Linked DNA regions of Ovis aries. The protein of the gene in region 1 purifies or fractionates together with the protein of each later gene. This does not show direct contact. Links are inferred from orthologs where the notes say so. Each region holds a gene or a part of one and is shown on either strand. Other genes may lie near its edges. The genes, in order: GP6 and LYN.

Region 1 (15,643 bases):
GTATACTTGATTTACAATGCTGTTAATTTCTGCTGTACAGCAAAGTGCTCCAGTTATATATACATTTTTTGAAAAATATTTTTCCATTCTGGTTTATCATAGGGTATTGAATATAGTTCTCTGTGCTGTACAGTAGTAGAACCTTGTTGTTTATCCATCCTATATGTAAAGGCTTATATCTGCTAGCCCCACCTCCCGCTCCGTGCCTCTCCCAACCCTCTATCCCTTGGCAACCGCCAGCCTGTGCTCTGTGTCCACGAGTCTGTTTCTATTTCATAGACAGGCTCCTTTGTGTCATATTTTAGATCCCACATGTAACTGATATCATGTGCTATTTGTCTTTCTCTGTCTGACTTACTTCACTTCGTATGATTGTCTCTAGTTGCACATGGCATGTTGTTGCAAACGGCGTTATTCCACTCTTTTCTGGGGCTACGTAGTATTCCATCGTATATATGGGCCGCGTCTTCTTTATCCATTCCTCTGTCGATGCATATTTAGGCTGTCTCCATGTCTTAGCTATTGTCAGTATTGCTGCTGTGAACACAAGGGTGTGTGTAACTTTTTGAGCTAGAGTTTCGTCTGGGTATGTGGGAGAGGGATTGCTGGATCATATGGTGGGTAATTCTATTTCTAGTTTTCTGAGGAACCTCCATACTGTTTTCCACAGTGGCCACCGTCTTTAATACTAAAGTTCTCTCCTTTCCCAGACACTTTCCCCAAGCCCTCGCTCTCAGCCCAGCCCAGCACGGCGGTGCCCGCAGGAGTGACCGTGACTCTACGCTGTCAGAGCCAATACGGTTTTGACCAATTTGCTCTCTACAAGGAGGGGGACACCAGGCCCTTCAAGACACCGGAGAGGTGGTACCGGGCAGACTTCCCCATCGTCACGGTGACTGCCGCCCACAGCGGAATCTACCGATGCTATAGCTTTTCCAGCGCACATCCATACCTGTGGTCAGCCCCCAGCGACCCCCTGGAGCTTGTGGTCACAGGTCAGGGGTACAGACAAAACCTTTTCTCCAGCCTTGGCAGTCCCTGATGGAAGTTTCCAGGGGAGGGAGCATGGGGAGTCAGAGGCTTTGGAGGGTGTTTGAGTGTCTGGGTGCTTCTGTAACACGTGACCACAAGTTCGCTGGCTTAAATTTCACAAATGTATGACCTTACAGTTCTGGAAGTCAGAAGTCTGAAATGGGTCCTGCAGGGATAAAACCAAGGTATCAGCCAGCCTTCCTTCTGGAAGCTCAAGGGGAGAATTCATTTCTGGTGCCTTTTCCAGCTTCTAGAATCACCTGTATCTCTTGGCTCCCACGGTCCCTTCCTTCATCATAAAACCAGTTTCATAGCATTTTCTAATCTTTCTCTTTCTCTCTGACTCTTCCACCTTCCTGCTTCGCTCTTAGGCTTTTAAGGACCTTTGTAATTGGACCCACTCAGATAATCCAGGATGGTCTTCCCAGCCCAGGATTTTCTATTTTTAAAAAAATGTGTATTGGAGTATAGTTGATTTACAGGGCTTCTCAGCTAGTGTGGTGCTAGTGGTAAAGAACCTGCCTGCTAATGCAGGAGATATAAGAGACTCACATTCGATCCCTGGGTTGGGAAGATCCCCTGGAGGATCCCACACCAGTATTTGTGCTTGGAGAATCCCCATGGGCACATAAGCCTGGTGGGCTGCAGTCCACCAGGTTGCAAAGAGTTGGACACGACTGAAGTGACTTAGCACACACACTTGTGGTTGATTCACAATATGGTGTTAACTTTAGGTGTACAGCAAAGCGAATGAGTTACATGTATATATACATATACATGCATATATTCACTTTTACATTAATTAATCAGTTTTTGTTTAAAAATTTTAATTTATGTATTTTTTCTTTTTTTTTGGCTGCACCTTGCGGCATGCAGGATCTTGGTTCCCTGACCAGGGACTGAGCTTGCACCCCTGCAGTGGAAGCCTGGAGAAAGTGAAAGCCAGGAAAAGGAAAATTGAATTCTGTTTTAATTTGAATGCTATGAATAGTGCCTGGGTATTATTGCCTGGGAATAATGCCTGGGTGATTGGTCTGGGTAAACAAGCAGATAGCAAGGGTCATGGGAGAGGGAAGGGGCTGTTTTTTCCCTTGGCAGTCCCCATTTGTCCCCACATAGCATGCCTGTCTTTCTCTGGACATAGTCCACGGTTTTTGCCTCCTCATCTGGTTCCCAGGAGACAAAAGCCACTTTTGTTCCCAGGATCTGTAAGATGGCAGGTTGCAGGGATCCAGAAGAAGGGACAGGACTGCAGTTTGGAAAGTAGGGAAGGCAGCTACAGGGATTGTCATTCATTAGCTCCAGAATGTGCTAGGTGTGCCTTTCAAACGCTGTTTAAGACTCACCGCAGTCCAGTGGTGGAAGCGTCCGTATTTTTAGTTTCCAGGTGAGGAAACGGGTTTGCTCAGGAACCACACATAACAGTGCACAGATCGCTCTCTCTTTTTTTTTTTTTCTGATTTCTCAGGGGCCTCTGTGACCCCCACTTGGCTGCCCACGGAGCCACCTTCCACTGCGACAGGTAGGTTTCAGAGCATTCACCCTGTGTCTGTGGTATACAGGCACAGGAACCCCGTTATCCTTTTCCTCTTAGTCTAGATTTCTCGATTTGCTTGAATACTGGAGTGGGTTGCCATTTCCCCCTCCAGGGGATCTTCTTGCATAATTACAGCACAACAGAAAAACCAGAAATCTGACATTGGCACAATATATACGTATAGTTCTATGTCGATTCATCACAAAGATTCACATAACTACCACTGCATTCAAAATACTGTTCCAAGGGAAGAAAACAAAAAGCGCTATTCCATCCTCACAAAGATATTCTGAAGGTCCCACCTTTATAGACACCTCTCCCCTCCCATGATCCCTACTGCTGCTGCTGCTGCTAAGTCGCTTCAGTTGTGTCCGACTCTGTGCGACCCCATAGGTGGCAGCCCACCAGGCTTCCCCATCCCTGGGATTCTCCAGGCAAGAACACTGGAGTGGGTTGCCATTTCCTTCTCCATGCATGAAAGTAAAAAGTGAAAGTGAAGTCGCTCAGTCGTGTCCAACCCTCAGTGACCCCATGGACTGCAGCCTACCAGGCTCCTCTGTCCATGGATTTTCCAGGCAAGAGTACTGGAGTGGGGTGCCATCGCCTGATCCCTAACCCCTGGCTAATTTGTTCTTCCTAGATTTAATTTTATCATTTTGATAATGTTACATATAAATGGAATCATACAACATGGGACTTTTTAAGATTGTCTCCACCCCCTCCCCCCTTATCATAATACTCAACGGACATGAGTTTGAGCAAGCTCCAGGAGTTGGTGATGGACGGGGAAGTCTGGCGTGCTGTAGTCTATGGCGTTGCAGAGAGTCGGCCATAACTGAGTGACTGAACTGAACTGATCATAATACCCCTGAGATTTTTCCAAGTTGTTGCGTGAATCAATAGTGCTACCTTTTTTCAAAGAAAATTAAAAGAAATTATTTGTCCTTGGCTGTGCTGGGTCTTTACTGCTGAATGGGCTTTTTTTCTGGATGTGGAGAGCGCTGGCTACCCTCTAGTTGCGACACACGGGCTTCTTATTGTGGTGGCTTCTCTTGTTTCGGAGCATGGGCTGTAGAGCACGTGGGCTTCAGTAGTTGCAGCTCCTAGGCTCTAGAGCACAGGCTCAATAGTTGTAGCACAGGGGCTTAACTGCTCCACAGTATGTGGGATCTTTCTGGACCTGGGATCAAACCCAGGTCTCCTGCATTGCAGGCAGTTTCTTTACCGCAGAGCCAACAGGGAAGCCCTCACCCTCAGTATGTACAGTCAAGAAAATTTAAAAAAGTGTATTCACACAGAAGCTTGTATGTGAATGTTCATATAGTAGCAGAATTCACAACAGCCCCAACGTGGAAGTAACCCAATGTCCGTCAGTGGATGAATGGAGCTGTTTCTCAGGAAGCCACTCAGAAGTAGAAGACGGGTTTATCTTGGGCTTTCCGAGTTTGTCTTTCCTCCGTGTCTGTGCAGTGTGTGGTAGATGAATGAGTTCCAGGAAGATCGGATAGCTCAGAAGGGGCGAGGGGAGTAGGGACTCACGGAACAGACCCGGCATTACCCACTTTCTTATAATCGTCTTGCTTAGAATTCACAGAAGCCTCCAGGAAACTGAACCACTCGATTGCAAAGGAAGCCTCCACAACTGGTGAGTAACCAGGCACTCAGAGCTCGCTCTTCCGTCATCTGAGGCTGTCAGCTTTCAGGCTGCTTCTCAAAACCACCTGACTCTTCCCAGGAGAGTCCTCGACTTGAGGGCGAGGGTCGGGTGGAGCTGGGCTCTGAGCTCGGGGGAAGAGGAGCATTCTGGGAAACGTGGCTGCTTCCAAGGTGGCGGCACCGAGGCTGCCGTGGGGACACCATTACGCATCCCTACACTGGGCTCTTCTTCTTTTCTAAATGTACTTTTAATTGAGGGACAACTGCTTTACAACGACGTGTTGGTTTCTGCTGTACAACAACGTGAATCAGCTACACACGTCCCCTCCCTCTTGAGCCTCCCTCCCGTCCCCAGCACTGTGGTGGTCTTCTTTTTCTTTTGGACTTTCTCTCACTAAGTGTGTTGCCACAAGAACGCTTCTACGTGGGTAGTAAGTTCTGAATTTTTGTTTCTTTAATTTGTGGGCTGTGCTGCATGGGATCAAACAGGGATCAGACTCACGCCCTCTGCACTGAAAGTGCAGGGTCTGAACCACTGGACCCTCAGGGAAATCCCGTTGGTGTGTGCTCTTCCAGCTTGGCTCTGATCGATGTAGCTGTGTTGCCATTGCTTCCAGGCACGGTCCTGGGCTTCAGCCCCGCATAGATTGTAGTTCTCTGGACACAGTACATCCTCCAGTCCAGGGCAGTTAGGTGTCCCTCCCACTGTTGTGCTCTTTGCCCTTGGCTTCTCTAGGGAGGGTTTCCTTTTCCTTCAAGACAGAAAACCCTGGCAGATTCCCTGAGGATTCCTTAGCTATCTTCATGGGGTCCACACACTTTAGGTTCCTGATTCCAGCAGGTTCTTTCCAAGACTCTGAGGAGATTCTTCTCCATCCTATGTTCAAAACCCTTCTTGGTCCCCAGTCACTCTCAGGAGGAGTAGGAAAACTGACCCCATAGCTGTTAAGTCATTTGCCAGATGGTAAAGAATCTACTTGTAATGCAGGACACCTGGGTTTGATTCCTGGGTTGGGACGATCCCCTGGAGAAGGCAATGGCAACCCACTTCAGTATTCTTGCCTGGAGAATTCCATGGACAGAGGAGCCTGATGAGCTACAGTCCATGGGGTTGCAAAGAGTCAGACATGGCTGAGTGACTAACATTGTCATTCTATCCACATCTAATAAGTGATGAGTCTGAGGTTCCAATCCGAACACTCTGACTCTGCAGTTCATGTTGTCGACTCACTCAGTCATGTCTGACTCTTTGCAACCCCGTGGACTGTAGCTTACCAGGCTCCACTGTCCATGGGATTTCGCAGCCAAGAATACTGGTATGGGTTGGCATTTTCCCCTCCAGGGGATCTTTCCAATCCAGGAATTGAACTCGTGTCTCCTGCGTTGGCAGGCTTTTTTTTTTTTTTTTTTTTACCACCTAGCCATCAGAGAAGCCCTTTGTGGTTCACACTGTTCTTAAAAACCTGGAATTCTGCCCCTCAGTGCAGCTGTTCAGGATTGGGTAGAAACAGGATTAGAAGAGATGGTTCCACCTCTTTACACTTATTGTTTTTGATTCCCAGAGGCTTCTAGGAATATCACTGTCCTTCCAAAGAAGTCAGACCCTCCAACTGGTGAGTAAGTGTCCTTCTCTGGACCAGCTTCCTGCCCCCTCTAGCCCATGTCTTTACCCCAAACTGGCTGCTTTCCCTGCAGAGAAGCTGCAGCTCTCTGGTCTTGGGTTCTGGTGTGTCAGCTAAGAAGGGGAGGAGTAGTGTTAGCATATGGAGCTCAGAATTGGGCAAAGACCAGTGTGAAGGTGGAGATTATCTAAAAGGTCAGAAGAAGGGAAATTTCATCTCTGCACCACCCCTTATGATAGTCTCCTCTTCCACAATCAGCCAAACAACCAGGTAGTGTCTGTGTGTGGGGAGAAGTTGTATCAGAGGCCTGTGAGGGGGTGAGTGGAAGACATGCTACTCAAAGAATGGGGCTTATCTAGTCCTGATGCTTGGTGAAGATGAGAGGAATCCTTGAGGAAGGAGGTTGGCATCCTAGCTTGTTATTCTTCAGTTGTGTCTGACTCTTTGCAGCCCCATGGACTGCAGCATGCCAGGCTTCACTGTCCTTCACCATCTCCTGGAGTTTTCTCAGACTCATGTCCATGGAGTTGGTGATGCCATCCAACTATCTCATCCTCTGTTGTCCCCTTCTCCTCCTGCCCTCAATCTTTCCCAGCATCAAGGTCTTTTCTAATGAGTCAGTTCTTTGCATCAGGTGGCCAAAGTATTGGAGTTTCAGTTGCAGCATCAGTCCTCCCAGTGAATATTCATGGTTGATATCCTTTAGGGTTGACTGATTTGATCTCCTTGCAGTGCAAGGACTCTCAAGAGTCTTTTCCAACACCACAGTTCAAAAGCATCAGTCCTTCAGCACTCAGCTTTCTTTATGGTCCAACTCTCACATCCATACATGACTACTGGAAAAACCATAGATTTGACTAGACAGACCTTTGTTTGCAAAGTAATGTCTCTGTTTGTTAATATGCTGTCTAGGTTTGTCATAGCTTTTCTAGCTAGCAGAGAGTAATAGGGTTTCAGATGAAGGATTTGGCCGTGACAAACCCAGTATGTGGCTTGGAGTGGGTTCTGGAGAGGAGCTTTGTTTGTTTGCTTGTTCACTATTTATTTATGATTTTTATTTTTGACTGGGCTGCTTCTTAGTTGCAGCTTGAGGCATCTTTGATATGGCACGTGGTTTTCTCTCTGGTTGTGGTGCTTGGGCTCAGTAGTCAAGCCTCACAGGCTTGTGGCATGTGGGACCTTAGTCTCCTGACCAGGGATCCAGCCTGTGTCCCCCTGCATTGGAAGGCAGATTTTAAACCACTGGACCACCAGGGGAGCCCCAAGACTATTATCATTATTTTTTTGGAGATGGACCACTTTTAAAGTCTTCATTGTATTGCTTCTGTTTTATGTTTTGGTTTTTTGGCTTTGAGGGATCTTAGCTCCCCAACCAGGGATTGAACCTGCATCCCTGGCATTGGAAGGTCAAGTCTTAACCCCTGGACCACCAGGGAAGTCCCCTTGGAGCTGGGCTTTTATCATCTGCTCCTGTCTCTTCTTGTTCCTCTAGGTCTTGCCCTCCAGCACTACACCAAGGGCAATCTGGCCCGGATATGCCTTGCGGCTGTGATTCTGATTCTCCTGGCGGGGCTTCTGGCAGAAGACTGGCACAGCCGAAGGAAACCTCCGACGATGCACCGGATCAGAGCTGCACACAGGCCACTCCCACCCCTCCCGCAGACCCAGAAACCAAAGGGTCGTCAGGATAGGGGTCGACCAGACGGTCACAACCGAGGCTTCCGTCACTAGAATCTCAGGCTTGGTTGCGTCTTGGTCGCGCGAGTGGGGAGGGGACCTAGCGTGAGTGGACTATGAGAGCCACAGTCTACTCACTGTTGTCTTGCTCACTGCCATTTTTTTTTTTTTTTTTTGGGGCGGACTGCGAGGCATGCGGGGATTTTAGTTTTGTAACCAGGGATTGAACCCACGCCCCCTGCATTGGAAAGAAGAGTCTTAAGCACTAGACCACCAGGGAAGTCCCTCCAGATGGACTAATTTTTTTCGTTCTATTTATTTTTAATTGGAGGACAATTGCTTTACAGTGTTGTGTTGGTCTGTGCCATGCAGCAACTGGAATCAGCCATAGGCATACACATGGCCCCTCCCTCTCGAACCTCCCTCCCACCTCCCCCCCCTCTAGTTCTCACAGAGCACCAGTTCGAGCTCCATGTCATACAGCAAATTCCCACTGGCTATCTGTTTTACCCGTGGTAGGGTATGTGTTTCAGGGCTGCTCTCTCAGTTCGTCCCACCCTCTTTTCCCCACTGAGGATTGACTTCTGACATCACCCCCTCTCACAGCTGACCCAATCCATCCTCTGCCCAAAACTCTCCCATGTGTCCCCGTTGCCCACCTGCCTTGTGTGTTTTTCTTTTTAAAATTCTATTGATGTAAGTTAATTTACAATGTTGTGTTAGTTTCTGGTATGCAGGAAAGTGAATCAGTTCCTGAGGTTTTTTTTTTCTTTTTTCTGATTATCCCCAAATGTAACCCTCATGCCAACACTGTCTTAAGCTACAGTCTGAAAAAACATCTTTTTGTTTCTTGGGTTGTACCTGACTCTTTCAGGCTTTTGGGTCTTCTATTCTTTCCCCTTTGAATATAATAATAATTATAAGCAGCATGTTAATGACTTGCCTTTATATTAGAAAAAAAGTCCAAAGTCCTAAGCTTATCCTAAAGGTTTGGATAGGTCAATCCATAGAGACAGAAGGTGGACTAGTGGTTGACAGGGGTTGAGGCAAGGAAGAAATAGGGAGTAATTACTTGTTGATAAGTCGCTAAGTCGTGTCTGACTCTTTTTGACCCCATGGACTGCAGTACACCAGGCTTCCCTGTCCTTCACTGTCTCCCGGAGTTTGCTCAGATTCATGTCCATTGAGTTGCTGATGCCACCCAACCATCTCATCCTCTGGCACCCCCCTTCTCCTTGTGCCGTTGATCTTTCCTAGCATGAGGGTAATTACTTAATCAGTGATTTTTTTTCCTTTTCTTATTTTGCAATGATGAAAACCTTTTGCAGCTAGGTAGAGGTGGTGGTTTCATAACAAAGCGTACTAAATGGCACTGAGTTGTTCACCTTAAAGTGGTAACTTTTATTTTACATGAATTTCACCTTAATAAAAAGGAAAAAAAAAAAAACCAAACCAACCCAACTTTACTACCTGACATCCATCCCTGTCTGTGTGGGGTCACTTGTCCTAGGGAGGTAAGTGACATAAGTCAGAAATACTTCCCTTTTCCTGTTGCCAGACTGCGGCACCTAGCTGGGTGCCCTCCTGCTAAACAGAAGCCTCTCTGTTGCTGACACAGTCTTCAGATGAAGTCCAGTCTGGTTCTCCCATGAGTATGACTCTGGTACACATCTGGGGTTCCAGTTCCTACCAGAGTGAATCTCAGACCCTGACTTTGTTAGGGAACTTCCCCCAGGAGCTGTGATGAAGATTGGCAAGATCTGGCCCCTCCCCCAACACTGCCAGCCCCCAGGTTGCCTGCCTTCCTGGCGACTCTGAGCTCAGAGCCCGCCCCCAGTGTGCCCTCTGTGCCACTTGGGCTAGAGGAACTATCTAGAAGGAAGTAAGGTTTGGAAGAAAATAGTGCTTAATAAGAAAGTAATTCTTATAGAAAATAACATTAAAAGGAATATATAGATGTATATATCACTGAGTCACTTTGCTGACCAGCAGAAATTAACACACCAATGTAAATCAACTATAATTCAATTAAAAGAAAAAGGTTCTAATAAAAAAGTAATTCTTGTACTGTTGCTTTAAGGAGTTTGGGGTTTCTGTATGTCACAAGGGAATTCTGGGGGCTGTAAGAAGAGCTATGCATACCATGAAGTTCTGTTTTCTGTGGAATCATTAAATCATTAACATGGAATCATTAAAAGTTAATCAGAGCAATGATGGCATCATGCATGTACTTCATGTATGTGTGTGTTAGTCGCTCAGTCGTGTCTGACTCTTTGTGACCCCATGGACTGTAGCCCACCAGGCTCTGCTGTCCATGCAAGAAAACTAGAGTGGGTTGCCATTTCCTCCTCCAGGGGATCTTCCTGACCCAGGGATTAAACTCTGGTTTCCTGCCTTGCAGGCAGATCCTTTACCTTCTGAGCCACCAGGGAAGGCCATTGAAGCACCTAAGAGGCCTGCAAAATATTCCGGGTTAGTAGGAGAAATACTCCAATGAGGAAGACTTGTCAGGTATCTAGCCACACAGATAAGAAATACCAGATCTGGGCAATGACTTCGCAGACAAATCAATGTGATCACCAACATTTCTTTCCCATTCCCTCACCCCTGGGCTAAGTTCTCCCTGAATAAAGTAGCTTTTCTCTAAGTTCAATTGAAATCCATTCATAAATAAGACTTCACTCATGAATGCTTTCACCTTTATTTTTCTTGATATCCTCAAGACACAGACATTCCATCCACCCCAGGGTTAAGTGATGAGTGTATGTTTTATGTAAACCAGAGGCTCAACCACGGCTAAACTAACATCTGGCTAAGCAACTAACAACATTGAGAAGGATCTTGGGGAGTTCACCATCACCTTGATGATCTAGGAATTTACTGGGGAATGAATGGCTCCAGGGGGATTCAGAAAATGAAGTCATGAGAAGAAGGTCTGTTATCTTTTGGGTCTCGATGATCACTCTCAATAGTCAGCTGTGGGTTGCTTTCCTTCATTTCTCTCAGCAGCTTCTGGATTCGAGCATCAGATTCATCTATCTTCAACCTAGGAGGTAGAATGTGGGAGAGAGAACATTTTCTTATTGCTTTGAGGAACTTCACTCCAAATGCCCAGGTGCCTGGCAAAGCTCATGATTTAGGGATTTACAGAGCAAGGGCCATCTCCATTGGTTATTCTATGCTGCAAAGTAGAGTTCCAGATCAATTTGGTCAGGAAAAAAGATGCCACTGGGTTAGCATTGGTGGTGGTGGTGGTGTAGTCACTAAGTCATGTCTGACTGTACAGTCATGGACTGTAGCCCACCAGTCTCCTCTGTCCATGGGATTTCCCAGGTGAGAATACTGGAGTGGGTTACCATTTCCTTCTCCAGGGCATCTTCCTGAGCCAGGATCAAACCCAGGTCTCCTGCATTGGCAGGCAGATTCTTTACCCCTGAGCCACCAGGGAAGCCCTGGGTTAACACTGTGATGGTATAAAGACACTGCATAGCTTTGGGTGCTTGAATGATCTTGGGTGATTATCATATCATGCTTGGCACTAGAGATGGAGTTGATGAATACCTCTGTGATGTCCGTCTAAAACCTACCTATTCCATAACATTGATAACTTCTATCTAGTGAATCCAGGATCAGGCAGACACACTTGAATTAAGTCAGTGGGATTAGCTTTTTATGCTCCTTGGCTACGAGCTTCTAGATAACTGCCACCCCGTATGTGACCTGTGATAAGACCAGTCTCATTTCTTCGATTTGCCTTTTAGTAACCATATTCAGTCATGTGTATGTGGAAATGGGGACCAGGGAAGCAGAGGGAATAATTAAATTAAAATTATAATTTAATTATAAAACCAGGAGACCAAGGATATTGGCTGCCGTGTTTCTGATTGGCATTATAGTCCCGATTTTGCTGGCATATTAATCAAAATCTGTTTTGTTGTTTGAGTTTCACAATATATCCATGCAACAAGCCTTCAGTTATAAGATGAAAAAGTTTTGGGGGTCTTATGTACAGCTTGGTGACTATAGTTAATAATACTGTATTGTATATCTGATATCTGCTAAGAGAGTAGATCTTATGTGTTCACACCACACACACAAATGTAACTATGTGAGGCAATGGGGTGTTAATTACACTGATTGTGATGCTCATTCCACAATATATACATACATCAAAATATCACATTGCATACCTTAAATATATATAATTTTGTTAATTATATCTCAGTAAAGCTGACAGACCACCCCTGTCCCCAAACTTCATGTACCCCATCAACCTTAAGCTAGCTTGAGCAGAAGCCTTGTCAGCAATCAATATAACTTTTGCTAAAATATAGGCAAACTAGCTTCAAAATATTTAAAACATGACCCTTCAAGGTCAGATGTAGTTGTGTCTATTCATGATTGTCAGAGGTTGGTCATAGTCTTTGGTAGAAAAACAAAAAAATAGTCCCACAGATGATCTGTGTGTGGTTGAAAGTGTTAAAGGAATCAGAAATGGGATATGAAGAACAGATCAGAAGATACAAATATGTTACTCTAAGAACAAGGATGGTGCTGGAGAAGACGCTTGAGAGTCCCTTGGACAGCAAGGAGATCAAATAGTCAATACTGAAAAAATCAACACTGAGCATTCATTGTAAAGACTGATGCTGAAGCCAAAGCTGCAATACTTTGGCCACCTGATACGAAGAGTCAACTCACTGGAAAAGACCCTGATGGTGGGAAAGACCGAAGGCAAAAGGAGAAGGGGGTAGCAGAGGATGAGGTGGTTAGATAGCATCACTAACTCCATGGACATGAATTTGAGCAAACTCTGGAGATCACGGAGGACAGACGAGCCTGGGGTGCTGCAGTCCGTGGGGTTGCAGAGTCGGACCTGACTTAGTGGATGAACAACAACAAAAGCCGTTAATTGTCTAGGTTGCATTTGAGGATTTAAAAAAGTTCCCACACTCTTGGGAAGAGTTTTATGGTTCTTTGTTGCCACAGCAGCAAATCAGCAATAGAGCAAGAACAATAGAACAGTGAGCAAGTAGAAGACAAGCAGTTGCTGATAGCTTCTATGATCACAGATTACTTCGATTAGACAGCAAACTCACTCCAAAGAACATGCTTCTAAGTCTGGCATTGACCCACTGGACCTCTGTAACTAATACAGTCCACAAACAAACTTTCCGAGAACACCATATAAGAGCTGTGATTCCATTTCCCTAATGAGACAATCGCTGGCCGCCACAACTCCCCCTCAGGTAGACAAACCCTAAGTCCAGCCTCTTGGTTTCCAGGTTGAGTTTTTGTCTCCTTCGACTCATCTTCTCTGTCAAAACAACGGAAGGAACCTATGGGAAAATTATCTCATAACCAGACATCAATAAATGAAAGTTGAATGTGAGCATTAGATGCCTACAACAAATTCCTATAGTTTGTGTTCCCCCATAACCTAGGATCGTGGAGCAAACACTCAGGGGAGTAGGAGGATCATACCTGAGTGTCTGGAGGGGACAACTTTGAAGTTTCAAGGCATCACACAGCATGTTTACTCCACTGGACCCCAAGGAATTTTGGCCCAGGTCCAGCGTGATCAGGTTCTGATTGCTTCTAAGGGCAGATGAGAGTTCTGCACAACAGAAGGGAGTGATGGCACATCCCCACAACCTGTAGGTGAAACACACACATTCACTGATTTACTCAACCAATGCTTGTTGATATCACCCCATGTGCCAGGCACACACTTGGGTGGTAGTGGTCTTTGTGGTCAGGGTTGATTTGGGGTCTTCCGTGGTTCACTATGAATTTGGGGATTAAATTTTGCGTGTGGGTATGAAAAATGCCATCCTGGTCGAATTTTTAATTTGTATTTATTCTTTAAAGACTTGCCTACTTTTGGATGCACTGGGTTTTCGCTGATATGTGCGGGCCTTCTCCAGTTGCGGCGTGTGGGGGCTACTCTCTAGTTATGACGTTCAGGCTTCTCACTGCAGTGGTTTCCCTTGTTGGGAAGCATGGGCTCAGGGTGTGCAAACGTCAGCACTTGCAGCTCACAGGCTCCAGAGCACAGGCTTTAGAGTCGTCCTGTGCCATGTGGGATCTTTCCAGATCAGGGATCGAACCCGTGTCCCCTGTATTGGCAGGTGGATTCTTTACCACTCAGCCACCAGGAAAGCCCCATCCTGGTGGAATTTTTAAAATACTCAATGAAAATTGCGGGGGAGGTCTGCTATATTGATAGTACCTTTTAGATACACACTAAAGTTCACAAAACGGTAACTCACCATAGACATCTTAGTTTACACAGTGGTTTCTTCAAAGCCTCACACAGAAACTTCAGTCCAATAATTCCTATGTGATTCAGCCCCAGATCCAAGTGTGTGAGGCTTGAATTTTGCTGGAGGAGTGTCGAGAGATGAATGCAGCCATCGCTGGTTATGTTGCAACACCATAGCCTAGAAATCAGATCACATGAAGAAAAAAAATTTCTTTTTCCTCACCAGTGAGACACACCAAAACCATGACCATCTATCTCAAGCCATGGCTTTTTAGATGAGTTTGAAGACGCTGGAGACTGTAACTAGAAACTGCGCTACTTGAATGCAGTATGCATGTATACATACGACACACGCACACACAGACACACACAGCCAGCACAGACTTACACCAGGGTTTGCAGTTGACATTCAGGGTAAGTCAGGCCCTCACACAGCAGTTTCACCCCACGATCTCCAAGAGCATTCTTGGCCAAACACAGGTGGGTCAGCCTCTGGTTGATAATCAAAGCAGAAGACAGATCTTTGCAATAGGCTTCTGTAAGGTGACAGTTCTCCAACCTGCAAAAGCACCACACAGATAGCCAGATGGTGAAAGCATTTCCAGGACCCAACTTTCTTGACTGTCTTCAATGACTAGAGTCCTCGGTCACACCCCTTTTTGTTAATTCTCTGCCCTCTGTCAGTGGTGTGCTAGTGATCGTGGTCATAAAGGGACAGGAATGAGAGAAGGGTGAGTCAGATGAGCCATTTGTCTGGGGCCAAAAGTGGGAGCCAGGCGTCTATATCAGTGGGGTGCTCCAGCCTGCTCACCCAGCAATTCCAGGTGCCACCTCTTCTCTTCTCTGTGTGACCCTACATCTACCACAAAGACGCTCGATGGAAAGAGAGGAGAGACTTACGACAACCTCTGTAGGAAGCACGTCGGATATCTCAGGGTCATGTATAGCAACTTGGCTCCCTCATCCAGGAGCTCATTTGCTGTGAGGTTCAAGCATGTGAGGGACTGGTTGGTTCTGAGGCAGCAGGAGAGATCAGCCCACTGCTGAGCGGAGGCAGAACAAGACACCAACCTGCAGGAGAAATGGCAACAAGGCATTCATGAGGACCAGACACTGGGCACACAACTGTCTACAGTTTTGTCTCACTCTGTTATGTTAGCGCTTCCCAGGCGGCTCTAGTGGTAAAGAACCCACCTGCCAGTGCAGGAGACTAAGAGATGTGGGTTCAATGCCTGGGTTAGGGAGATCCCCTGGAGGTGGGCATGGCAACCCACTCCAGTATTCTCACCTGGAGAATCCCATGGACAGAAGAGCCTGGTGGGATACAGTCCATGGGGTCATAAAGAGTTGGACCCAGCTGAAATGACTTAGTATGCCATTATGTTAACCCTGGACTAAATTATCTGGAGCAGAGGTTGTCCAAGTGTGATTCCTGGACCAGTTGCATCAGCACCATCTGGTAACTGTGTAGAAATGCAAATCATCTAGAGACTCTAGATGTAGAGGCCAGCGATCTATGTTTTAAGGTATCCTGCAGTCACTTGGAAGATGTCTTTCAACAAATTCCTGGACCATATACCCAGAATTTGATTCTGAAGAATCTGGGTGAGACCCAAGAATTTGGACCTTTTTATCAAGTTCCCCAGTGATGGTGCTGCTACTGGTGGTCTGGAGATGACACACCAAGAACTACTTATTTAGAAATCCAGCCACCTGAGCATATTGTGCAACTATATTCTATCTGCAGATGCGTATTCTATTCCTGGAGGTACACATTCTTCATCATGAGCAAATAAAACTTTATTGGAACATAATATATAGTATCATGATAAAGAAAATGCATTTCTAGGAGTA
Region 2 (15,168 bases), on another chromosome or scaffold:
ATCCCACTGATGCGAGAGCCCTAGAGTATCACAGTCATAGAGACAGGAAGTAGAGTGGTGTCCAGGGGCTGGGGAAGAGGGCGTGGGGGTAAGTGTCTGCATTATGGGTACAGGGCTTCCTTCTGGACTGATGGAAATATTCTGGAACTAAATAGAAGTGGTGACTGTACAATATGAATGTGAGTTGTTCACTGTAAACTGACTGACCTTATGTTACATGAATTTTACTTCAATAAGAAAGGAAAGGTGAACAGAGCAAGGAGGAGGAGGTGATGATTTAGGCAGCAGAGGGGGGACAGAGGCACACCTAGAGCAAGATCACGCCCCCGGTCTGTGGACCTGATTGGAAAGAGTGCCACGTACTCACACAGATCCCAGTGAGCAAGGTGAGGCTGTGTACTCATGATTTAGCCTGATTCCATTATCATGTTCCCAGAGAATTACAGCACAGTAAGAATTAATTATGGACTTTCCAGGTGGTGCTAGTGGTAAAGAACCTGTCTGCCATTAGAGGAGATGCAAGAGATGCAGGTTCGAGCCCTGGGTTGGGAAGATCCTCTGGAGGGGGGCATGGCAACCCACTCCAGTGTTCTTGCCTGAAGAATCCCATGGACAGAGGAGCCTGGTGGCCTACGGTCCATAGGGTCGCAAAGAGTCAGCCTTGACTGAGTGACTGAGCACAGGCGCCCAACTGTTCCTTTCCCCGAGATGCCTGCACTTAACCGTATGTCCAAAGAATCTGCTGATGAGAGAGTCAGAAAGAGTAGACAGATAAGCCAGGATAAGCGCCCACTGCCCCTTCCTTGTAAACACTCATCCAACAAGAGAAAGCCTAAGTCTCAGAGAAGATGAAGAGTCTAATCATGAGGACTGTGTGGGCTTGTTCTTGGCACCCGGTGGACAGAGGGAAATGAAAGCATCAATGGTTCTGAGAAAACTGATAGAAATCAGCTGGAGCCCTTACTTCTCCAGAAGGGACTCAGGCTCCAAAGCCACACACTCACCCATCCAGACTTCCCCGAACTGCCCGGCGCCTAGCCTCTTCACCAGCTTGATGGACTCTCGGGGGATCTCCCAGGCATCCTTGTCCCATGGCTTCTGTGGTTTGGGGCTAATGCACGCCTTCTCCAATCTCCGGCACAAGCCATCTGACTGCTCTAATTTCAAAGAGAAAGTAAATGTGGAAAAGTCATCCTTTGTATTTTACCAGTATCTACAGAGAAATCTGAACTATGAGTTTTATCATTTCCAACTCGCCAAGGTCTACAAACTTAAAATGTTTATGGGTGTATCTTCTGTGAAACCATGACTTGAAATTCTTAAATGAAAGACAATGTAAGATGCACTTGATTTGATTCATCAGTAATACTAATCTATGAAAATAAAAACAATAAAATAAATAGACAAACATAGGCTGGCAGGTTGTCACACTTAATAGACTATAGTTTTAATTACTGAGTCTGTGTAAACTCTTCAGGGCACAATGGTGGGAACTTGGTCAGGTCACCAGGGGACACCCCCCCCCCCCCAGCCTCAGAACAGAGCCAGGGCTCCACAAGTAATCAACACATGTGCCAGACGAATAACTTGATGGGGGTAGAGAGAGGGAAGGACTTACTACTCTAGAGTACTTGCTCTCTCCATACTTGGGGACATAAGCAAAGTTTATGTGTATTACCTTAGAGCAGCTTGAAGAAATAAGCAGTAACAGCTTCCCACTACAACTGATCTCAAACACAAAGGGAATATACCTAAAGGCTATTCAGGGGATCAGCCTAGCAAGGCTGTAGGGCAAACTGGGGACGAAGGACCACTGACTGGCCACTTCTAATTGTTTTGGTGTTATTGTTGTAATTTCTGTTTTCTTTTACCAAGGGTACGTATTACTTTTATACACACACATACATATGTCTACACTAGAACACAGATCTACAGATCTGCATTCCTAGCCTGGATATTAAAAAGATGTGTTGTAAAATCATGCACTATATGAAAATAATAGTCATTTCTATCTTTGTAATTTTTGAACATTAACTGTTAAACAGCACAGGCTAGGTGGGAAGGACTAGGATAATTATACACAAAGATCAAATCTGACTTTGAATGCTTGTGTGTGCTTAGCTGCTCAGTCGTGTCCGACTCTTTGTGGCCCCATGGACTGTATAGCCCACCAGGCTCCTCAGGCCATGAGCTTTTCAAGGCAAGAATACTGGAGTGGGTTGCCATTTCCTCCTCCAGGGGATCTTCCCAACCCAGGGACTGAATGGGTGTCTCTTGTGTCTCCTGCATTGGCAGGTGGATTCTTTACCACTAGTACCACTGTTGAATGTATAGTTATAGGTTACTTTAGGACCAGTTACAGAATATGATCCTGCAACTTTATCCAAAAGAAATATGATTCTTCTTTCTAAAGAGGCTACCAGGAAAACTACTAGAGTTCGTCAATGAATTCTGTAAAGTTTCAGGATACAAAAATTTTTTATATAAGTTTGACATAATATATGTATCATAACAGATGTATCTTTCTTTTCTTGTCTGACCTTGTGTTTTCACTTACTTTGATAATGCTTAATCATGTCACTGATACAAGGAAAAGTGATTCGTGGGGAGATGTAATAACCCCCATTGTCCAGACTTCTGATTTTGTAGTGCTTAATCACATCACCGTGCACAGGGTCACAGTCTCTGACAGACAGAGAATAACTTCCTGCAGAGAAAGAATTACAAGCAAAGATTACACTTATATTTTGTAAACAAGATTGGCATTATGGGGAGGGAAGTTTTGGGAGTTTGGGATTAACAGATGCAAACTATGACACATAGGACAGATAAACAACACAGTCCTACTGTGATATACCAGAACAGAACAGAGTATGAAAAAGACGGCATATATGTATAACAGAATCACTTGGCTATACAGCAGAAATTAACCCAACACTGTAAATCAACTATACTTCAATAAAACAAGATCTGCCCACAATTCTTTTTCAACAGAATTCTAGAATCATTTCTAAGAATGATTTCCTAAACAGCATTTGATAAGAGGCCTTATGTCACTTCCTACCTTTTAATGTCTCGCTTTCTCTGATCAGGAAAGCTCCAGCGCTGTTCCCTGGGGCCAGAAGCTGCCTTTCTGCATCTTTCCTGGTTATATCCTTGAAAAACCACCTGTGAAGACATATTAACATCCCATGGCTGTTGTAATCCCGGGGAGAAAAAAGATGAAGAAAACGCAAGAGATCCAGCATGTCACACAGAACCACTCCAGACCACTCCACGAGGGGACTCACTCTTCCGTTTCCAAGGTGTTGACTTTGGCCACATAGTTGCTGGGAATGAAACCTTCTTTCTTTGTCGAAATGGACTTGGCTTTCCACCACTCTCCGTGCCTGGAATAGAAACCTGCATCAGAAAGGGTTTGTCGGACTTCCCTGATGGTAAAGTGACTAAGAACTACCTTGTAATGCAAGGGATATGAATTCAATCCCCCGCCAGGCAACTAAGATCCTGCACGCCATGGGGCAGCCTAGCAAGTGCTTGTGCCTCCAAGAAACGGGCCACACGCCACAGCTAAGACTCGACGTGGCCAAATAAACACGCATTATAAAAAGAAAAAAAGGGTTTGTATTCAATGACTCAAGAACTACAAGAGCAATTGTCTTAAGGTGTTTGTCTTGAGGGGTGTGGGACAGTAGGGAAGACCCTGGGACCCCAGAATGCAGGGGGAAAGTTAATGTGTCCTGATGAAATACAAATATGTTTAGTGAAGGATGCAAAGGAAAACAGCCTCAGGACTGAGGTGTGGGTCTCTGTGCTCAGAGCTGCTGCATAAGAGTTGGTGAAAATGGTTTCCATCTTGCAGAAACAGAGTTCTTAACTTCCCCGGGGATATCTACAAAATGGGCTTCCCTGGTGGCTCAGAGGGTAAAGAATCTGCCTGTAATGCAGCAGACCTGGGTTTGATATGTGGGCTGGGAAGATCCCCTGGAGGAGGGCATGGCAAACCACTCCAGTATTCTTGCCTGGAGAATTCCCAGGAGAGAGGAGTCCATGGGGTCACAAAGAATTGGATACCACTGAATGACTAACACTTTCACTTTTCACACTTACAGAAATGGGAGTCAAGGGAATAAAAGGTCATAGTTCTTAAGTTATAAACGCCTTTGTTGAAATAGCTAGTGTCCATAGGCTGATGCCATGGGACAAAAAAGAAAACCATAGATCAGTCCCAAGCAGATGAGCCTCATTACCACCTCACATCTCCTGCGAGAGGCATGGAGCCAGGGAAGGAGCTGGGGAAGGAGGAACGGATGGTCGCCAACGGATGAGCCTCAGCTGTGTTCCCATCAGGTTCCCACACCCAGATGGGACCCTCATCTGGCAAGACATGAAGGACAATTTCAACTGGCACTCGGCTGTGGTACACTACACGCCTGTGCCATATTTATAAAAGGCACACACACACATAAGCCATTTCTGGTTTCCAAGCGAGACACTAAGATACAGAGTTAAAATGACTTGTCACGGTCACACAGCGATCAAGTGGCAAGGACAGAATGAGGCTCAAGTTCACATTCAGCCAGTAATGGACAACCCCTCTCAGCTACTCAACACCTTATACTTAATAAGGGCCTCTCTCCTCCAGCCAACCAAGGGTCTCCTGTTGGCAGGCCAAGGTGATGCTATATGAGGAGTAGTAGAATTACTGAAGTTCCTTATTCTCAGCTCAGTCCTGAGCCCTGTGAGTCAACCTGGAGGGGTCAAGAAAACGATGTCCAAACATCTTCACAGAAGCACTAAGTGCTGAGCAGGGGCTTTCCCGGAGATGACCGCTGCCTCGGTGCCCCACCCTGATGACTCACACCCAGTTGGACCCATACACTCAGTGTGAATTTGAGGAAAATAACAAAGTAAAAACGACATTAAAAGAACATGCAGGGACTCCCCTGGTGGTTCAACGGTTAGGAATCCACCCACCAATGCAGGGGACACGGTGCGGATCCCTGATCTAAGAACTTAGATCCATGTGCCTCGAGGCAATGAAGCCCACCCACCACAACTAGAGAGCCCGTACCCTGCGACTACTGAAGCCTGTTACACTCTAGAGCCCATGCTCTGCAACAAGAGAAGTCGCTGCAGTGAGAAGCCTGTACATTGCAACTAGAGAGTCGCCCCTGCTCACAGCAACTAGAGAAAGCCAGAGAGCAGCAACAGAGACCCAGCACAGTCAAGAATAAATTTTAAAAACATTAAAAAAAAGAAATGCAAATTCTACATAGATCTAAGCCTCTTAAGGCAGCACAGATGGATAAGGAAAGACAATGGTGTTTGGTTTCAAACGAAAAACTCTTGGGAACTGCTCACAGTAAAGCCGAGGAGGAAAATCCCTCTGGCCCTGCTCCTTTTGGCAGCAACAAGGCTGGAGTTCCATGCCCACCCCCAGAGGGGTGTCTGCCGTGCCACTGGCGGCCAAGCCCGAGGAGGGGGATAGGCTTCGGGACTTGGTGCCATAGAAGAGGGACATCCAGTTGCACTTACTGCTCCAGGACTTTCATCTTTTCCCCTTTCTTGAAGGACAAGTCGTCTGGGTGGATGCCATCGTACGGATACAATGCAATCACGATGTCCCCTTGCTCCTCTGGATCTGAAAATGAACAAGGCGAGCAAAGACCTTTAAGAATCCACAGCAGAATGTTTAAAATGGATAACCAACAAGGACTGATTGTATGGCACAGGGAACTCTGCTCAATGTCATGTGGCAGCCTGGAGGGGAGGAGAGTTTGGGGGAGGATGGATACATGTATACCTATGGCTGAGTCCCTTCACTGTTCACCTTCCCTGTTCGCAATGTGGTTAATCGGCTATACCCCAATACAAAATATAAAGTTTTTTTTAAAAAAAGAATCCACAGCAGAAATGTTGTAACACCTTGTCATGGGGCACAGAGTGCAGGGATATACTGAGGAAACAGGCAGCTGGAAAGAGGACCTGTTTTCCTCCCAGATGGCTCGGGGTCCACATGGTCCATGGTTGGCCACACACTGTGCACACTGGTACAATGTCTGTCATCTCAAATCATAGAGACCTAGGACCTCAATGACTTCCAGCTCTAGGTTTAAAATGTGATACACCTGTGCTCATAGCAGCATTGTTTACAAACGTTAGAAGGGGAAAACCATCCGAAGACACTGTGTATACATACCACAGAATAAAGGAATCAAAATTCAGACACCTGCTACCACATGGATGAACCTTAAAGACATTATGCTAAGTGACAGAAGTCAGCCGCAAAGGACAAATACCATTTGATTCCACTTAGGCGAGATCCCCAGAGCCGTCAAACTCATAGAGACAGAAAGTAGAATAGGGGTACCAGGGGCCGGGAGGATGGGGGATGGGAGTTTGCGTTTGATGGGCACAGAGTTTCTGTTTGAGATGATGGAAAGTTCATCATCCCAGATGGAGAGATGGATGGATGGAGGAGATGGCTGCACAAAAATGAGAAAGTAGTTAATGTTACTGACCTGAACACTTTCATGGCTAAAATGATAAATTCTATGTTATGTCTATTTTTCCACAATTAAAAAAAAATTCGGAGACACATAGTTTTTCAAGGCAGAAGCCTAGTGTGTCTCCCTTTGCCTGGCAAAGCAATAAAAGTATCATTTTCTACCTCACCCTGCCGCCTGCCCCCACAAAATCAACAAAAACACCCAGGACAACTACTTTACAGAGACTTGAACAGTAAAGAAAAGAAACTGCCATGGCGTTATGAAAACATACCTTTAGTCTGAAACCTCTGTCCTGGTAAAAGCTGAGAGTCTGGAACCTAAGAGAGAATATTCATCAGAAAAATATTTTCTATGTTTAGCATTTTATGCTCACATTCATACTGTATGTTATGTCATTTTTGAACAGAAGCAAATAGGGTTTAGATTTGTTAATTTATTAAGCCAGAAAGAAGAGGAGTGCAGAGGAACAGTCCTGCGGAGCTCTATTCCGATCCTTGCCCCCCGCCCCAACCATTGAAGGGCTTTTCCTTCTTCAGCAGCCACTGGCCTGGGGGTGACAGGACATTCTGAGCCGCTGCTGAGCCAATAGGCTCCCTCCCCTTGATTCAGTACCAGAGCCCAAGTAACCTTAGGAGTGGCGGTTTGCCCAGCTCCATGGTGATGCTTCCCAATTCTCCAGCCTTCTATGCAGATGGCAAGGAGTTGACCTGCAGGCAGGTGATGGGGCTTTGGGATCGGCTTTCTTATTCCCTGGGCTGCTTCTTTCTGCCCAGAAGCAAGTGATGAGCTGGGCTTTCAGCAGCCATGGATACCAGTGACCAGAGACAGCAGAGCAGAAGATGGAGAGCGGTCCTAGGGGCCACCTGGGTCCTTGGTGACCCTGTGGAAGTGCCACCCAGGCCAGGACTGCTGATCTTCACTTTTCCCAGACTTGTTTTAAAAGCTGCTGTAAGGGCTTGGTCACTGGCAGCTGAGAACAAGTCCTAACAGATCCAGGCTTCCTGTGGCTGACCCCGATTCTGCTATGGGGACAGATGGCATCCCTGTTATTTTAGCTTGGAGCTGAATGATCAGGAAGGGCCTGATGGTACAAAAGGCCACCCCAATCACCTTGGAAATCAAATTCCTTTTTCATTCGTTGACATGGGGAGGATGTGCGAGACTTCCCGGGTTTTATCGTGTTTCTTTTTGATTAACGTGATTGAATGGAATATGAACCAAAACAGCTTGTACTGAAATTTAAATTTCTGATGGAAGTCAGCCCATCAAATCTCCAGGGGCGGGGAGCAGGGGATTACGTTTTTCTGGTTCAGAAACTCTTGGCTCCGGATGATCTTTCAATACTTATTTCAAGGAGTTCTATACTGATTTTTAAACTCATTCAGATTTGCATAATTAGAATGTATGATCAATTTTAAAGGAGTTAGAGGAAACAATTAGAAGATGAGAGACTGATTAAATCATTTTGAGAGCAGCAAGCTGATTTTCAAATGTCAAAGAGTCCTTAATTGACAAATGATTGAACACATTCTTCAGAAGGCCAAAACACATGTATAGACCTCATCTGTCACCACTTTCCTTCTCTAAAATGTCTTTTCCTTAGAGTGTTATTGAATTTGTGTCAGTTCAGCCTTGCTGTCACACAATACAGCCTGTAATCAATCCAGGGGTGTGTTTCGGGCACATCTGGCTGGAACTGAATGTTATCCATGGAATAAGGCCCAACTGCCCAGTTACAAACCAGGGCACCTGTGACCAGAGAAGGTGGAGTGTGCTGCGCTCCGGGGGTGCATGAGGGAACTGAGAGATTTCAAACATGCTTCCTACTTCTGCTTTCGAACTTATCTTTTAACCTCCTTTACTCTTGGCAAGAGGAAAAATGGTGTGTAAGTTTGTACTGGTCTCCTTTGCTTTTCTGAATGAAGGACATCTTCTTTCATTACATTAACAAAAAATGGGGGATTGTAAACCATGTAAAATCTACAGCACATGACACTAGAAAAAGTCAGGTCCTTTTTATGACACCTTTGAAGTCTATAACGAGAAAATTATCTGTGACTCCAAGTCCTTGTATCATTTCATTTTCTGTTAGTCATATTTCCATAGCATAGCTCCACATCTATACCTATTTATGTGATGTCTTTTTGAATATTATGTTTATAGGTATTTATAACTAAATTATAAAACTTATTAATAATCTTGTACATTTTGAGTTTCTGTTATAAAATTACAACATTTAAAAAATCTTTTTCTTTATTTTTGGCTGTGCTGGGTCTTCATTGCTGTGCATGGGCTTTCTCTAGTTACGGGGTTACTCTCTAGCTGCAGTATACAGGCTTCTCAGTGCAGCGGCTTCTCTTGAGCACGGGTTCTAGGCCCACAGGCTTAACTGCCCTTTGGCATGGGGGTCCTTCTGGACAGGGTATCAAATCCATGTTCCCTGCATTGGCAGGAGGACTCTTAACCAGTGACCACCAGGGAAGTCCACAATGTTTTTCTTAAATTTCTTTTTTGGTTGTGCACCACAGCCTATGGGATCTTAGTTCCCCAGCCAGGGATCAAACCCTTGCCCCCTGCATTGGAAGCACAGAGTCTTAAAAACTGGACTGCCAGGGAAGTTCCTAAATTAATGTTAATTTATCTGTCTAGAAATATGTAGGGAATTAACAGCATAATGTCCTCACTTTTCATCTCTACTTTTTTGCAAGAATGCCAACACCGACTTACCAATCTCAACAATGACATGTGACCTTGACACACACCATACCTGCAGGATAAGGGCGAACGTGGGGGAGGGGGCTGGTACAGGGAGTGACAACAATGGTATACTTCGAGAATGCCAAGGCATTTAAAAACATGTCAGATTAGAGAAACAATGAAAACTCTTAATGAAGGCATTTGGACTCATGTGGAATAAGCTGCTTTCAGCTTAAACGCTGAAACACTGGTTTCCATAAAAACCAGGCAATGGGGGATGTACATATATACAGTGAGCAAACAGAAAGGACCTAAGATCTGAAGTAAAGTGCATTTAAGGTTGTAATTATCCAAAGCTCTGTTCCTTTCTTCCATGAAATGTGGTATTAGTTCTTTGCCAAGCATTTCTCAAACACATCAGAGAGCACATCCATCATGTAAAAATGCTGGTACAGATATTTGTCCTACGTTAGAAGGCTTAAATCTTTTAATTCTCTATAATAAGTCATGACAACTTCAGTGTTCATACTAGTTTGAATTAATTGAAGAACAACATGATGGGATAAAGTATGATGGCTACCCTGGTGGCTTAGCGGTAAAAAATATGCCTGCCAACGTGGGAGACACAGGTTTGATCCCTGGGTCAGGAAGATCCTCTGAAGAAGGAAATGGCAACCCACTCCGGTATTTTTGCCTGGGAAATCTCATGGACAGAGGAGCCTGGTGGGCTATGGTCCATGGGGTCTAGAAGAGCTGGACGTGACTGGGTGACTAAACGACACCAACATCTACCAAAGGGCATATTAGCACCTATTTTGGCTTCCGACTAGAATTCAGCATTTCCTTCTGCTTCCAGACCACTAATCTTATTGCCCATCCTAAGTCACACAAGCTCGTATACGTGTCTTTACATATAAAGAGAGGGTATTTGTACCAGTGACAGGAAAGGTGATAATCGCCACACATAAGAAGGTGACCAAAGGCCCCTTTATTGTACATTAAGTGACCTGGTTGTCTCGAATATATTTATAAACTCTTTAAAGGATTAAGTTACAAAGTATATCAAAAATTATTTGAGGCCCAAGTAATTAACATGATTTTTTTTTTTTTTTTGGCATGCACATGGTACAGATTTGGAGTTTAAATTACGCAGCCATGTTTTGATCCTGCCGTGGGAACGCTCCCCTGAGACTATCTACTTACTGGCCTTTGGTGTTTATTGGACGTTGGATCTCTCACATAAATAGTTCGGTCAGTATTACGTACTGGTTGCGTCTTCAAATCTACTCCATCGTCATTCAGATTGTCTTTCCTTTTTGACTTTATACATCCCATAGTTCCTGTTGGAATACAAAAGCAACGGCATCGTTTTACCATTCCAGAACTGGCTTCCAGCCACCGAAGCTTCTCCATTAATAGAGAGAAGGTAACAGCGACTCAACAACAGCAAGCACACTTCTAGTCTTCATCGCTGATGATTTAACCAAGTCAAAGAGGTGAAGACCGTTCACAAGCCAGGTGCTTGTTCATAATCTGTTCACTCATTCATTCAACAACCATTTATTGAGCATCGATTTTACGTCAGCATGAATTCCTGCCCTACAGACGCTCCTGTTCTTGTGGTGAAGATGTGTGAATTAAAACAACAATGTGACGTGGCAGGTCAACGACAGAGGATGCACAGGACACAGGAAAGGACACTGACCTCAGGCAAGAGGAAAAGGATGTGGGCAGGGGAAGTGTCCTGATGGAAACGCTTCGAGTCAGAATGGGAGTGATGTCAGCTACGTGGCAGAGTCAGTAAAGGGATTCCAGGAAGAGACAACTTCACATGCAAAGTATGGGCCCCGGGAACACGGCCCCTTCAGGGAACTAGTTCAAGTCAAACCCTTCAGGGAACAAGTAGGGAAGTCCAAGAGTTGGGCTGGAGGGGGAGGCATGGCTGAAGACAAGTGTCACTGTGCAAGGTGAAGTGAGGGGACCTGGGGCTTCAAAGGCAAACATGAGGAAGAGCCAGGAAGCATAAAGGGTGGCTCCAACCTTATGTGGTTTGGGGCCTGGGACAATGGTGGTGGCCTTCACGGAGACTGGAAATCAAAGAGGAGACACAGGTACGGAGAATAGATGCTTGTAGGAACACCCACACGATCACATCTGTAGACGTCCCAGTGAGACGTGTGAGTGTGGAAAACAGGAGAGATGTCAGAGCCAGAGGCACAGAGGGTGCCGCCAGCCAGCTTAAGGCTTCAGGAGAGACACCTCGACAGAAGGGGGCTTGAGCACAACCAGTGAGACAGACGGAACCACCCTTCTAAAGGCTAAACTCTTTTCTGTCTATTCAGTTATACTAGGATGTGCAGAGTGCCACCCAAAGCAAACTGGGAACTTAGATCTAAAGGCGACTTTAAAACTGAAATTGGATATGACTATTCCTCACAGCACAGCCTCATGGTCAAATTTATACATTAAATACAAAACAAAATCTGTATGCACTCCACTACAAGGTTCGGGAGGGTGGTGTTCCCGAACCTAAAGGCACACAAGAATCGCCTAGGTTCACAGAGCAGATTCCCTGGACACAGTCCAGGAAGTTCTCCAGGGGCACAGTGGGGTGGGCACTCCAATGTGACTGTCATTCTCAGGCACTGCCAAAGGGGACCCCTGCCCAGAACATCACAGAACAAGGACGGTTTCACGTGGGGAAGGCAGGTGATGGGAGTTAGGAACTCCTCCTAGAGGAGGAATGGGTCAAAAAAGCCTCAGAAGCTCATCCCCATTGCCCCGGCTCGGCCTGCCTCTGGTCCCACAGGCATCAGCGACCACCGCCTTGTTTATCTTCTCATTGGCTGACATAGGAAGCCTCTGAAGACGGTCACGCCTCTTGCTGAAACTAGCGAGCTGTAGTTCCCAAAATAAAGGGGAAGCAAGTACTTCTTTGACTCAAAACAGCACAGTATTTTTTTTCTTTCATGTGCTAAAGTTTCTGAAATGGGATGGGTTTTCTAGTTGATCTGTAAATAAACAGGGGAGCTCTTTTTTGACCCATCCCACCTCCACCCCTACTCCTACCCTTCAAAAAAAAATGTGTTTTTAACTTATTCGCATCAAAATGGGGCTGCATGAAGGAGGGAAGTTGGTATTGGAAAAGGCCAACCCTAGTGGACACCAGTGGCTCCCTGAACTGTGAAAGGAGCAGCCCAGCGGGTCCCCAGGACACACACATCCCTCGTCTGTGCACCTCTCCCCAGGATGTTTCCCGGAGGCCCACTTGTCTCCCTAGACCCTCCCAGACTCTAACACACTCCAGTTCTGTCTTTTTTCCAGATCTGGACCCAAATGTTGCCTCCTCAGATCTTCTGAAGCAGACAGGCTGGGCTCCCAGCCTGTTTCTCCTCTGTAATGCCACTCCGAGCAGGTGCTCAAGGGTTCATGGAAAGAAGGGATGCACCAAGTGCTCAGGGTGCTGCACTCTGGGCTTCCAGCGTGCTCATCCCAGCCCCTCCCGCTCAAGACAGGCAAGGAAAGGGAAAGGGGACATCCCTGCCCCAGCCGTTGCTGTTGTATTGGAGATAGAGGCATAGAGACCTGTAGAACTAAGTACTAGTTCATAGGAAACAGAGGATAAAGGGTCAGAATAATCAGACAGGTCCATGATGTGTCAAAAGGTGAATGAGGTTTGAATGAACAGGTGAGTGGGGGAGGACACGTGGTGGGGATCATTGGAGATATCTGAATACATGTGAACTCGATCCCAGGGGATTACACATTTCATTGATGTGATGTGGTACTGTGGTCATGCAGGGGAAGGTCCACATCTGAGAGGATGCTCATGAGGCGGGTAGGGATGTGGGCTCGGGGTATCTGCCAGCTGTCAACATTTTCACCAAAACGAAAAAGAAAAAAGGGGGACAAGGGAGCAAGAGGAGGGGACAAATGTGGCAAAATAGCTTTAAAAAAAATTAGTGACTCTAGGTGAGGATTTTTTTTTTTCTGTAGATTTGACATTTTCAAAATAAAAAGTCGGAAAAGGGAGAACACAGAAGGACATAAACGACTTTATGCCAAAAAATTCCCAGGAAAATATTAGCTACCCCTGTAGTGTGTGCGTGTGCACACACATTTGTGTGTGAAGGCAGATGTGATTAGAAAGTCACTTTGTAGGTGTTAGTGATATGGCACAGATTGGGGAATTGGTGGTTTGGTCCTCTGAAGGGGTGATGGCAATCGTCTGAAGGCCGTGGCCATGGGAAGGAAAACAGAATGAAAATAAAAAGTGGGAGGATGTGTGAGGGGTCGTCTAATCTGCAGTATTATTTATTTATGCATATTTCATGATTTCCCTCTCCCCATCACATGGGCTTCCCTGGTGGCTCAGATGATAAAGAATCCGCCTGCAGTGCAGGAGACCTGGGTTCAATCCCTGGGTCGGGAAGCCCCCCTAGAGAAGGGAATGGCAACCCACTCCAGTATTCTTGCCTGGAAAATTCCAAGGAAAGAGGAGCTTGGCGAGCTACAGTTCATGGGGTCACAAAGAGTCAGATACCACTGAGTAACTTTCATTTTTCATCACACAGATAACTGAGACACCCATGTGCACACTGGAGACGAAAACCCTAACCCACTACCACTGAGCTTTGAGTTTGGGTCCCTGCAGCTCAAACATTCCAGCAAAAGAGCTCAGAGAGCATCCTGTTGCATCAGAGGATAAACGCTGCCAGGTCTTCAATTCTTTTCACTGAGCCACGGTACCAGAAAAACACAAAACCCAGTGCACTCCTAACAAAAACTAAGAGCCCAGTTACACGTTTGCAAGTGACAGGAGCTACGCTTTATAAGCATTTACACCTTAGTATTTATTTTTCAATTAAATATCTGTAATTTTCTGAGCATCTCATCTAATCCTTGAAGAAACCCCATGACCCAGGTATTATTAATCCCATTTTACAGAGGAGTAAATGGAGGCATGGAGAGATTACATGACTGGCCTCAAACCATCGCACAAGGGAACGGTGGACTCACATAGCTTTCACCGGAAGTCCGTGCTTTTTTTTCCTTACCCTTTTGCCAAACAATGGCTATTTTGAAACGTGTTTTATCTCATTATTAATGATGCTAAAGACACTGTTCTTTATAGCCTGCTTCTTTCTCAAAAAGGATTTGAAATGCTTTTACCAAAAAGTGAGTTTAACAAATTGGAAACAGAAAACTCTAGGCGAGGAAAAGAAGACAAGGCCAATGTGGATCCAGATTTGCAGTAGGAGCTTTCCGGCAGGAAGAGCCAGAGCCGGCATCACAGGGCGCTCTCCTGGGAGAAAGGAAGCCGACCTGGGTCCACAGTGGACGGGCACGCCCCGGCATAAATTTCTAGTTTCATAGGATGGGCTTCACTTAAAGTGCTGTTGGCAATGTCTTTGATATTTCTTTTTTAACAGTAAATGAAAGCACATTTTACATGTGGACTCTGTCGTTCAGTTGCTCAGTCATGTCTGATTCTTTGTGACCCCATGGACTGCAGAACATCAGGCTGCGCTGTCCTTCACCATCTCCCGGAGTTTGCTCAAACTTATATCCATTGAGTCAGTGATACCATCCAACCATCTCAGCCTCTGTTGACCCCTTTCCCTCCTGCTCTCAATCTTTCCCAGCAGATATGAATTAATCATGATAATACCTGAGGGCCTCACATGCAAATACACCCCTAGGATGTTGTTCATCATAGAAGCTCAAGTAGATGATCTAACCAGACGCAGACAGCAGGTGACCCTCTGTCACAAAGGGACCTCCACCAACATATCCAGAAATCAGGATTGGGCGACTTTTCTGTACAGACGTTCACTGGGGCAGATATCCATTAGTGGTGCCTCATCCTCACTGAAGGGCCTTCGAATACCAAAATCTTTGTTTAAAAAAGAAAAACCGGAAGAAACTCTGGGATAAAAGGCTAATTATGACTCCTCGT

What was found.
Region 2: the proteins of GP6 (region 1) and LYN purify together in Homo sapiens (affinity purification with western blotting; 5 studies listed by BioGRID and IntAct, with this or other methods). This does not show direct contact. The link is inferred for Ovis aries from reciprocal best matches to the Homo sapiens genes GP6 and LYN.

What each region holds. Positions count from the first base shown.
Region 1 is NC_056067.1:63,161,260-63,176,902, forward strand, and holds the end of GP6 (platelet glycoprotein VI), read left to right. Parts: intron 1-710; coding exon 711-995; intron 996-2,500; coding exon 2,501-2,554; intron 2,555-4,154; coding exon 4,155-4,214; intron 4,215-5,787; coding exon 5,788-5,838; coding exon of another isoform or gene 5,839-5,842; intron 5,843-7,339; coding exon 7,340-7,578; 3' UTR 7,579-9,735; downstream 9,736-15,643. Other genes in the region: NLRP2 (NACHT, LRR and PYD domains-containing protein 2), read right to left, coding at 10,432-10,570, 13,009-13,179, 13,797-13,967, 14,178-14,348, 14,690-14,860.
Region 2 is NC_056062.1:36,182,663-36,197,830, reverse strand, and holds the start of LYN (tyrosine-protein kinase Lyn), read right to left. Parts: upstream 10,545-15,168; coding exon 10,476-10,544; coding exon of another isoform or gene 10,413-10,475; intron 6,830-10,412; coding exon 6,784-6,829; intron 5,645-6,783; coding exon 5,539-5,644; intron 3,390-5,538; coding exon 3,291-3,389; intron 3,169-3,290; coding exon 3,065-3,168; intron 2,708-3,064; coding exon 2,558-2,707; intron 1,158-2,557; coding exon 1,005-1,157; intron 1-1,004. UniProt on the Homo sapiens protein: Non-receptor tyrosine-protein kinase that transmits signals from cell surface receptors and plays an important role in the regulation of innate and adaptive immune responses, hematopoiesis, responses to growth factors and cytokines, integrin signaling, but also responses to DNA damage and genotoxic agents.